Caenorhabditis elegans: one gene and its partner. The protein of the gene in region 2 purifies or fractionates together with the protein of the main gene of each other region. This does not show direct contact. Each region holds a gene or a part of one and is shown on either strand. Other genes may lie near its edges.

Region 1 (5,378 bases), on a different chromosome or scaffold from region 2:
GATGATTGTTTTGTTGTTTGTTATGACTTTATTTGAAAATGCAGAAAAATAAAAATCCAAAGTTTTATCATGTATAGGCTTGTGAGTAGACGGTGAGCTGAAAACAAAATTCCGATTCATTTTAAATTTTGTAAATTTAATTACCAAGGCTTCCAGCTCAGGAATCGCTCGAACTGCACTCAATTTATATGGATTTGTATTACAGAATGTGATTGATGGGAAGTTCGACTCTACCATTCCAATCTACAATTCTTTGGCTTCAATAAAATAATAAAGATTTAAAAAAAAAAGCGATTTAAGAAATTTACATTCAGATTCACCAATTTTTGAAACGAAAAGTATTGGCGAACGGTGACGGTGATAAGGTAGACGAACAAAACGGCGCTGATAATGAGCAAGGTTGTCCAGAGAAGGATCGTTGGCCACTGGAATCATGGAATCTCTGAATTTGAAGAAATATTTGAACCTATTACTTACTGAAAGAGATTGAGCCATGTGAGGGATTCCATGCCACGAACAAGACAATCCCCACTCGTGTACAGCACTTTTTGTTTTTCTGAATCCGAAAATCTATGGAAAAAGCTAGAAATTTAGAGTTTTTTTTATCTTACGACCATCTCGTTTCATCGACTGGTTTATCTTTCCATTGATCATTTTCAATGTCTTTAATGATTTCTTTGAATTCTCCATCTGAATCGGAAAAGTCCAAATCACTGTCGATAATCGAACTTTTTCGCTGCCGAACTTCAGACATAAGATGTGAAACAAAAATTGAGAAGAAAATTTACAAAACACTGAGCTTGTGCTCTTTTATTCTAACAAACACTGGCTTCAAGCCTACTTTTTTAAATTTTAGATGAAGAAAATGGAGAAGTGCTCGGATTTCGGAAAGAAATATGAACAATCAAACGGGGGAATGGAGCATAAATAATTTAACAAGAAATGATTACAGGAATAAGGGGATGGTGTAGGTAATTATAATTACATCTGGTTACTTGTTAGCGTTGTTGGATTCGTTATTAGCTTGGTATGATGGACGTGGTTTCGTGTTGAAGAAACGACGAGGTGGCAGAGTGGTGGTTGTGGTGGTGGTGGAGTTGGAGGATCGAGCACGTGGAGCATTGATCGATGAGCACATGCGATTTCCAATTTCCTGGGCCTTGCTGATGTCTTCTGGACGTCCGAAAAGATGGGAATTGGCGATACGGACGCGGTTCATGAGCTCGTACATGTGCATCATATGGAATACATCATCCATTTTTCTGAAATTAAATTAGATTTTAAATATATTTTCTCAGTTTTACAACTAACTGCATTGAGCTATGATTGTTGTTGGAATGCTCAATAAAGCTTCTCATCATCGCACACTTTGGATTGTAACAGTCGTTCTTTGACTCATGGTGGCTTGGGCTGTTGCCTGGCAGACGATAACCGTATGGAAGCAGGTCTGTAACAAACGTAATGTATATTTTTAAGTTTTTATTTGGGAATTTTCGAAAAAGTATTATCATAATTATTATAGAACACGAAATGGGTGATTGATAGACACATGAAGGATACAGGTAGATACAGGAAAATTATATATATATAGGAGAATTTTAAAAATACTAACTCTGGAACGGATGCCCATAGTCGCCGGATCCTGGAGATGTGGCTGAGCCGCGAGGTTGGTAGGTACCATTCATATTGGCAAGAATGAGCAATTGTTGACGCTTCAGCTCGTCGTTACCGTCAGTCTGAAAACTTTTATTATTGGTGGATAAAAGCGATATTTTTATTATTTTTCACTCACTGGTACATCAAGAATTGCTTGAATGTGACCGACGCCACCTTTCAAGAGTTTTGCAGCTTGCGGCATATCTGCTGGAACAGAAATTTGCACTCTCAATGGACCTGTAGTGACATCGGGATTCGAGCTTGATCCATCTCTCTTGGTTCTTCCGAGGATTGTGATGCGGCAACCAGTTGTCACTTCGAGCTGCTTTGCAGTTGTTCCACGTGGTCCAAGAAGTCTTCCAACGAAGTTGTAATCGGGAAACTTTTCTACTGGAACCATGATAGTCTCCGTGAGCATCGAACCATCGCCACTCATTTGTGAGCCACCATCATGAGCATCGTTTCCTCCGACTTTCTGAATCTCCTTGTCGATCAAGTTGAAGACATGGTTGAAGCCGCCGCTAGAGTATTGAGCCAGCTGATGCTTCTCGCCTTTCAGCGCATCGATGTAGGCTTCGACATCGTGCAGATTCTTCGACATCTCCTGATCCGAGTGGTTTGAAGTGGATTTCAGCGACTTTTGAGAGTCATCCGACGGTGGCGGAGTCAGAAGAGACGAGTGTTGATGCTTTTCGGCGAGGCGGAGAAGTTGAATGCCGTCCGTAAGCGAATCGGCAGAAGAACTCATTGTCAGGCAGAAGATGACTCTGAAATTAAAAAAAAACATTAAAAATTAACAAAAAAAAATAGAAAAAAAACTCACACGACTGAACGAAAAACGTTTTAAAACTGAACTTTTCCGGGAAGGTCATCGGATCAAAGACGGGCGGATGGATGACGTGGCAAGCTCACGTGGAAACACCACATCAGCCGCTGCGTGAACTTTTGCTCTCATTTATTAAAAAATATATTTAATATTAAAAATATTTTTCACTTCACGTGAGCTGTCGTTCTTTTTTCTCAGTGTGTGAAGTGAAACTTCGGCGTAAATTGAAAATGAAGTGAAAATTCCTACGTGAAGTTAAAAATCCTCCATAAAATGAAACTCCTGAATAGACTTGCGCACCTTTTGCATAGAATTCTGCACCACCTGCATAGAATTTCGCAACTCGTGCATAAACTTTCGCTGATGCGTAAGCCGAGAACGCAAAAAATAAAAATAAATCTGAACTGAATGTTCTTTCAACAGAAAAAAATCGCAGAAAATAGCAAAAATGCAAGTGCGCTCTATAACAAATTTCCATTCGAAGAGACAGTGATGATTTATTCATAATTACATGGTAAATTGCAAGAGGGGGCACCTGTTTTATAAGATTAATGGCAAGGGGGAGGGATGCGAAATAAATATTTTACATGATAGCGGGGTAAGTATGAAATGTTAGTTGGGGGAAAGATCAATCAATCAATCAAGGGGCGGCGTGGAATCGTGGCGAGCGTCTCTGTGTGCTGGTAAGTGGAGTGGATGACGACGACGGCGAGGATGATGTGGAGGATGATGTGGAGGATGATGGCGTGGAAGGGTCCGGTTGCGGAGACCATCGTGGCGAGCGTTTCGGATTCGCTGACAGGCCTGCATCGCGACCAGCCCTGCGTCTTGCTGACGCTTCTCGTGCATTAGCTCGAACGACCTGAATAATTGAAGCAATTAGGTTCCAATCATAAATTGAATACGTTTATAACATACCTCCTTCGCTGCATCATTTAATTCCTCCCATCGTTTCTTGTCGCTCAACCTCTTCTTCTCTCGTTTTTCGGCTTCCTTCGCCCTTTTCACAGCATCAGAAGGCTTGGCCTTCTTCGGCCCACTTCCTTTCCTCGAAGCTCTGTTGGCGTTGCTTTTCGCATTTTCCTCCTTTTTCTTGCTCGGAGACATCTTCTTGTACGATTCCTTTGCGGCGATGGCTCTCTTTGACAGATCGTAAAGCTGGGCTGGTTGGGATCGCATCTTGTTCTGGAAGAAGACAATGAAGAGAAATCACAATTACCGGGGCTTTTCAAGTAGTTCGTAAAATCAAAGTGTATTTCAAGATGCTCGTTGCCTTATAAATTTAAAAACATGTATTTAAATAAAGTTTGTGACGTTATTTTGCCACATTTCTCGGAAAAATCGTGATCAAATATTTATTCAAAACACTTACCGTTGTTAGGAAAAACAATTTGAATCCAAAAATATAGCAGGAAAAATCAAGGGAGGGCAACCACCAGTCGCCCAGAATAAAAGACAGAATGTCTAACTGTCGAGGTGTGGGGACGTCGTCGAATTAAATGCACAATACGCAAAGGTACGCAAACACCGATGTGTACCGTACTCCGAAATGTTTTTAATTTCCATGTTTTAAACTAGGAAATCGACAAAAATGAGAGTTTTAAGCACAAAAACAGAGCTTTTGAAGCAAAAAATTATTAAACAATACAGATGACATATGCTCCTAGAAAATACCAGAATGAAGGTGTTTTTGAGGAAAAAAAATTTAGGCCAAAATTTTTTTTTAAACAACAGTATTTTCGAGGAATCAGAGAAGTTCCCGATTTTCCAACAAGTTGAATCTGTAGAAGACTTAAGAATACTCTCGAAAAAAGTAGCTCTACAGAAGTATTTTAGGCCAACGGAAGGTTCAAATTCACAACAAAAGTCAATGTGGAATAGATTTCTTGTAGAAACTGAACAATAGGAACAGAAAATAACTTAATGACTTATTCTGTAGTAGTTCCAATCTTTATGAACACATTTTCAAGTACTAGATATCTTCCAATCGAGAAAAAAATCTGGATAGGTTCGGTTTTCTTTTACGTCGTCAAGTGTCCTGATATAAGCTTTCAATGTGTTTATTGGATCACGAAATTCTCGTGAGAGCTCTTGTCAGCATAAGCGCACATCAGCATAAGCATATTCAAAACGTGAGCATAAGCATATTTCAAAGGTTTCAGCATAGGATAGTTGGCAATGAGATTTTGCAATAAAATGTGTCCAACTAGAATGTTGTTGGCGATAGTGTCAAAAACATTTGGTTTTTTAGGTTTCAATGTTTTTTTTTTCGATTTATGAAAAAAAAAATCCAAAGGGTACCCCTTACAAAAATTTTCTAAATTTTTTTTTGAAAACTTTTTTTGAAAACTTTTCAAAATTTGATCAGATGTTATAGAAAAATGCAATGTTTGTTGTTTATCTAGTTTAGATGTTCTGAACACGAATTCAGACTAAAACCTGATGTATAGTAGAACCTCAAAATTCAAAAAACGCACTCACTTCGGATGCTGATATCTCCGTGTAATAATTTTTTATGACAAAGTGATCAACTACAAAGTTGTTTATCTTAATATAAAGTACAATTTTGCAGTTCATCGTTTTTTATCAAAAAATTGGTTGGATGAGATATGAATAGAAAAAGAAGAAGAAAATACAAGCATGAAGGTGCCGAACTTTACACAACTTTATCTCGACCAGCAATTTTTTTGGTGAAAAACAATCAACTACAAAGTTGTACTTTAGATTAAGATAAATAACTTTGTGGTTGATCACTTTGTCATAAAAATTTTTCCACGGAGATATCAGCATCCGAAGTGAGTGCGTTTTTTGAGCTTAGGGGTTCTACTATACCTCAGGTTTTCGTCTGCAATAGTGTGCAGAACATCCAAACTAGACAAAACTACAAACATTGCAT
Region 2 (5,212 bases):
GTTATCTCCAGTCGGATTTGGTGCCATATCACTTAGAACAACATCCACTTGCCGATGTGCTAGTTTTTCTCGAATTTTCAGTTTCACTGCTGGATCGGTAATATCGGAGAGTGATAAGATGTCGGCACCGCGGATTGGGAGAACATTCTGTAATAATTTGCATTTTGAAATTGAAATGCAATCGCGCTCCAATGCAAGATGAAAAAGCTCCGCCCCCGGAACGTGGGTCTCGTTAGGTATTTGGCGGCGAAACCGGAAATTCAAAAATTTTAAATTACTTTTCAAGCATTTTCCGTCGTGTATTTGTTCTTTTATTTTAATAATTGTAAGCCAAAATGGGTGACAAATGAAAAAAAAATTATTCACTTTTAAACAAACTACTTAAAATTCTTGAAAACTAGCGAAATCGGCAAAAAACAAGAAAAAACTTTTTTTATTTCCGATTTTGCAGTCAAATACCTAACGAGACCCAACTTTTGGGGGCACAACGTTTTTTTTTCTAAAACTAATTTTAATAACTTACTTGTAAATCTACACCCGATGCATATCCATTTGGACACTTCTGCACAACTACTTGAAGCCATGAGCCAGGTGCACATCCAATATCGATTACAGTACTCTCCGGTTTCAGAAATTTGAATTTCTCATTAATTTCGATTAATTTGAAGGCGCTCCGTGCTCGGTAATTGTGCTCACGAGCTTTAACCGCAAATTCGTCTGTTGATTGCCGTTGAATATATCTGAAATTTAAATTTGAAAAATAAATTTATATTTGATGGGGGAAGAAAACTCACTTGTGCAAATTTCCTTGTGATTTTTTCGTTGAGAACATCCTGACACTTTTGAACATTTTTTTTCGAATTCTTAATCACTAATTTTTCAACAAAAAAATAAATTCCCTGAATCTAGATACTTTTCTGGTGATTTTTAAATCTAACCTATGAAAATGAAAATTTCGACAAAAAAACTAAATAATTTTAAACACGTTTTTATTCGAAACCTGATAGATAGGCAACTTTTAATATCACAAAAACTTTAATCTGGATCTTTTTTTGGTTATTCTGGAACTCTGAGGCATTCGTTAACAGCGTGCATTAGTCCTTGATTTTCCATTGCAGCAGCTACTCGTTCCTAAATGAGACATTTTGAATTTATGTTTTAAAAATTAACTTTTTGAGGGGCTTGCTTCTAAACTAAAAAATACAATGTTTTAAATTTTTTTTGAATTTTTTTATTGGTTTATTCGGAAACTTCGGTCTTATTTTCTATACTTTAAAATTTAATTTCAAAAAATTTCGAAAATAAAAAATGCAAAGTATAAAAATAGACCGAAATCTCCAAATAAACCATTAAAAAAATTAAATAATTTTTAAAATGATTTTTTTGCCATTTTGCAATCAAAAAATTCAAATTAATGTTTTCAGACGGTTTTCAGCATAAAATATTAAGAAGAAATGTTGAATTATCGAATTTTGGCGAATTTTAAAGTTTTAGTGATTTTTTTAAATTTTTGCGCAAATTAATGCCCGAGTTTTGAAATTACGTTTTTTGGCAAATTATGATTTAAACTTTTTTTTCAAATTTTTTAGACATTTTCTAGCAAAAAAAAAAGCTAATTACATAGTTTTTAAAAATTTTTAAAGTCGTTATTTACTATTGATTTTTCCTCATTTTACATATTACTATAGTTCGAAACAGTTTTTTGCCAATTTTACAGGCGTTTTTCAGCAGAAAAGTCAATTTTAGAGTTTTTTTTCGATTTTTTTGCAAAAATAAATGGTTTTTAAATTATATAGATTTTACTATTTTCATCAAAAATTAAAAACTTACCTTGTCGGCCAACTGCCTGTTAATTGATTCTTCCGTAGAATGTGATCCTGGAGTGATTGAAACGCTAACTTTAACTTTCGGATGCAAAGATCTCAAAAGTTTCACTCGAATCGCCAAACCGATTAGTGTTGCCATACTGCAGTGTGGAATGGTTGGTGTGAAATTCACCTGAAATTTTTTTTCAAATTTAAAAAAAAATTAATTTTAAATTACCAATCAATAATTTTCTCGCAATATTTTTCATTAAAATTTAGTGATAGAAGGTAGAAAAAAAATATTTGTTTTACCTGAAAAAAGTTTATTTCAGTTGGAACAATTGGGAAACGCTCAAGAATTGTCTGATATTTGGAAAAATCAATTGTTCCAATTTAAATAAAAGCAAGATAAATCAACTTTTTTTATCAATTAAATCAGTATATTTTGATTAAATATATCAGGAGAGCCCTGCATTGCTGAGACCAATTTTTAATATTTTTTCAAGCGCATTTTTTTCACTTTTTTCCAATCAATGCTGTAGAATTTCTGTTCAAAGATTGGAAGCTTCTTGGAAATGTTTTGTAAAAAATTGTAAAAAATTTTAAAGTTATTTTAAAATTAAAGTTACCTTCACAAAGGTCTCTTCTTCGTCGATAAACACTTTGATAAGCTCCTCTTGAACCACATTTAACTGCTCGAGAGTATATGGATGCTCTGGATCGTTGATATCTCTGATCAGATCGAAAATCTCCCACGAATCGATTGGATCTTCGACGCTTTCATCTCTGGAATCATATTTTTTGAATTAAAAATAATGTAGTGGAATTGAGAGCCAATTTTTACAAGCGAAACAACACAAAAAATTCATTTTTCGATGTTTTCTATTTTTTCAAGGAAAATCAAAAACTTAAAAAAAACTCAGCAGAAAATTCTTTTTTTTTTTAAATTTAATTTTGTTTAAATAAAAACGTCTTCTAAACAGAAGAACAATTATCAGAATTTTTAGCTAATTTTAGAAAAATCGAAAAAAAATTCGAAATATTGGAAAATCGAAAAATCTAAAAATCAAAAAACGGAAAATTTTCGTTTTTCGATTTTATTTTTTCGAAAATCTAAAAACCGACACTTTTGACACAGATGTTCTGGAGCTTCAAAGTGTCAAAAATTCATCTCCTCTTCCATTTTACTGGAATTTTTTATTTAAATGTTTGGATTTCATGCGATTTTTCGTATTTTATCGTGTTTTTGTTAAATTTATTATGTTTTTCGTTTAAATAACAGGTAAAAAGCGTTTTTCTTGATTTTTCTGTGTTTTCAATTTAATAATCGAAGTAATTACGTTTCAAACTATAAATTTTCATTTGAAAAAATACGAAAAATGGCTGAAAATTCGAATTTTCAATTTATTAATTCGCTGTTTTTTTGCGGAATTTTTTAAAAATTCTGTACTTTATTTATATAAAAACTTAACCGTGAAAATATGCTCTTTTTGAATTCAAAGTAAACTTTTAACGATTAAAACTTGATTTTTGCGTTAAAACCCTCCAAAAACCAACCTTTCAGTGCCAGTAACAGGTCGATGACGTGGTTTTGAGTCGAAAAGTGTTGGATTTGCATTGTCGAGACGTTCTTGGCCCATTTTTATGTGATATAAGCCTGGAAATTAAGCTGGAAATGGAAAATGACGAAAAAATATCGGTGGCCTAGTGGCCGTGGAAGAAAAAACAATACATATGTAGTTTTTGGCGAAAATTTAAATTTGAATAATTTTTTGTTGCAATAATTTCCAGAGATATAAAAATTTGAAAAATACTTTGAGATTTAAAATCAAAAATTTATAGTTAAATTTTTAAAAAATGTTTATTAAATTCGATTCAAAATTTGGAAAATACAAGAAAATAAGGCAAAAAATCACAAATTAAAACAATAAAACCGCGTAAAAAATGGAATTTGGTCGGTATGTGTGTGATGAGAGTGAGATGACGAAACGAAGCACGCAAAATGTACAAAAAATTGGATAAAAAATCAAAAAAACTACACAATGAGATCCTCTAAATCTGATCCAACATTATCCAAAAGTCGTTGCTTTTTCGAGCTCCCAGAGCTCACGATACTTGTTGTTGAGCCGAGCAGTGAGCCAACTTTTGAGCTTAATATTGATAATTTTGAAGAAGCAGCACCTCGAAAAACAGCCGAATCGTCTAGGCCTCGATGCACTTGAACTTGGAAAGAGCCCGATTCGAGGAACTTCTGATGTCGTTTGAAGCTCGTCGTATAGAGATTTGCAATCGTTGGTTTTCGGAAGTTTTTGAGTAAAAGTGAAGAAGAAACCACGGAGACACTGGAAAGAGCCATTGCAGCTGCAGCCATCCATGGTTGAAGCATGAAGCCAAATGGGCGGAATACACCTGGAAATTTGGAAAATTATTAAAAGTGGATTGTTTTTTGTTATTGGAAAAATAGCGTTTTCTAGAAAAACAATATTTTCTTCTTTTTTTTTCTCAACGAAAATCAACGAAAATTTCATTAAATTTTGAATTTTTCAAATTTTCCAGACAAAAGTAGAAAATTTCCGTTTTTTTCTCGAAAAATAGCTTCAAACTTAAGCTATTTTTCTTTTTTTTCAGAAATTTTTTTTCTTAAGTACTTCTCAACAAGATAAACCGAATTTGATAAAATTTTGAATTGTTTAAAAATTTTCTAGACGATTTTTCGTTTTCCGGGTATTCGAAAAGTCGAAAAATTTTGATTTTTTTTGTTCGAAAAAAAATTACCCGGGTTTTCGAAAAATAGCTACAAATTTTGACCAATTTTCTTTTTTCAGAGAAAATATAATTTTTAAAGTTTTTCTCTTCAAAAAAAATTGATATTTAAAATTTCAAATTAAAAAAATGTTCTAGACATTTTTTTTCAATTTTTTCGTTTTTCGGAAAATTGAAAATTTTTCGACATTTTTAACACTTTTTATTCTACCATTTGAAATCGGTTTTTTTGTTCGAAATAACTTTTTTAAAATTCACCTGCAGCAATCGGAATTCCAATCGCATTATAAATGATTGCAAACAAAAAGTTCAATCGAATCCTTCTCGTCGTCATTTTCGATAGCTTAATTGCTCCAACAACATCCACAAGATCATTTCTAACAAGTACGATTCCAGCTGACTCAATTGCCACGTCACTTCCTGCAGCAATTGCGATACCAACATTGGCTTCTGCGAGAGCCGGCGAGTCGTTGACACCGTCTCCAACCATTGCAACTTTGTTTTTGTATCCTTTCAATTGCTTAATCTTTTGTTGCTTTTGATTTGGAAGAACTTCTGCGAATACTTCATCAATTCCGACTTGTTTCGCAGTTGATTCTGCAGTTTTCGAGTTATCTCCTGTGAGAAGTACGACACGAAGACCC

The links. Proteins that work in one complex are often made in the same cells at the same time.
Region 1: the proteins of ciao-2B (region 2) and Y57G11C.36 fractionate together in Caenorhabditis elegans (co-fractionation; one large-scale study listed by BioGRID). This does not show direct contact.

What each region holds. Positions count from the first base shown.
Region 1 is NC_003282.8:14,770,633-14,776,010, forward strand, and holds Y57G11C.36 (K Homology domain-containing protein), read right to left. Parts: upstream 3,123-5,378; 5' UTR 2,480-3,122; intron 2,424-2,479; 5' UTR 2,405-2,423; coding exon 1,793-2,404; intron 1,737-1,792; coding exon 1,613-1,736; intron 1,448-1,612; coding exon 1,312-1,447; intron 1,263-1,311; coding exon 992-1,262; 3' UTR 787-991; downstream 1-786. Other genes in the region: Y57G11C.43 (Protein KTI12 homolog), read left to right, coding at 1-5; degl-1 (DEgenerin Like), read right to left, coding at 68-97, 145-243, 309-425, 478-556, 612-754; Y57G11C.51 (DUF3362 domain-containing protein), read right to left, coding at 3,123-3,344, 3,401-3,661.
Region 2 is NC_003281.10:13,436,081-13,441,292, forward strand, and holds ciao-2B (MIP18 family protein F45G2.10), read right to left. Parts: upstream 3,465-5,212; 5' UTR 3,446-3,464; coding exon 3,363-3,445; intron 2,592-3,362; coding exon 2,435-2,591; intron 1,999-2,434; coding exon 1,831-1,998; intron 1,132-1,830; coding exon 1,057-1,131; 3' UTR 974-1,056; downstream 1-973. Other genes in the region: F45G2.9 (rRNA methyltransferase 2, mitochondrial), read right to left, coding at 1-147, 524-740, 795-832; cua-1 (P-type Cu(+) transporter), read right to left, coding at 3,841-4,214, 4,827-5,212.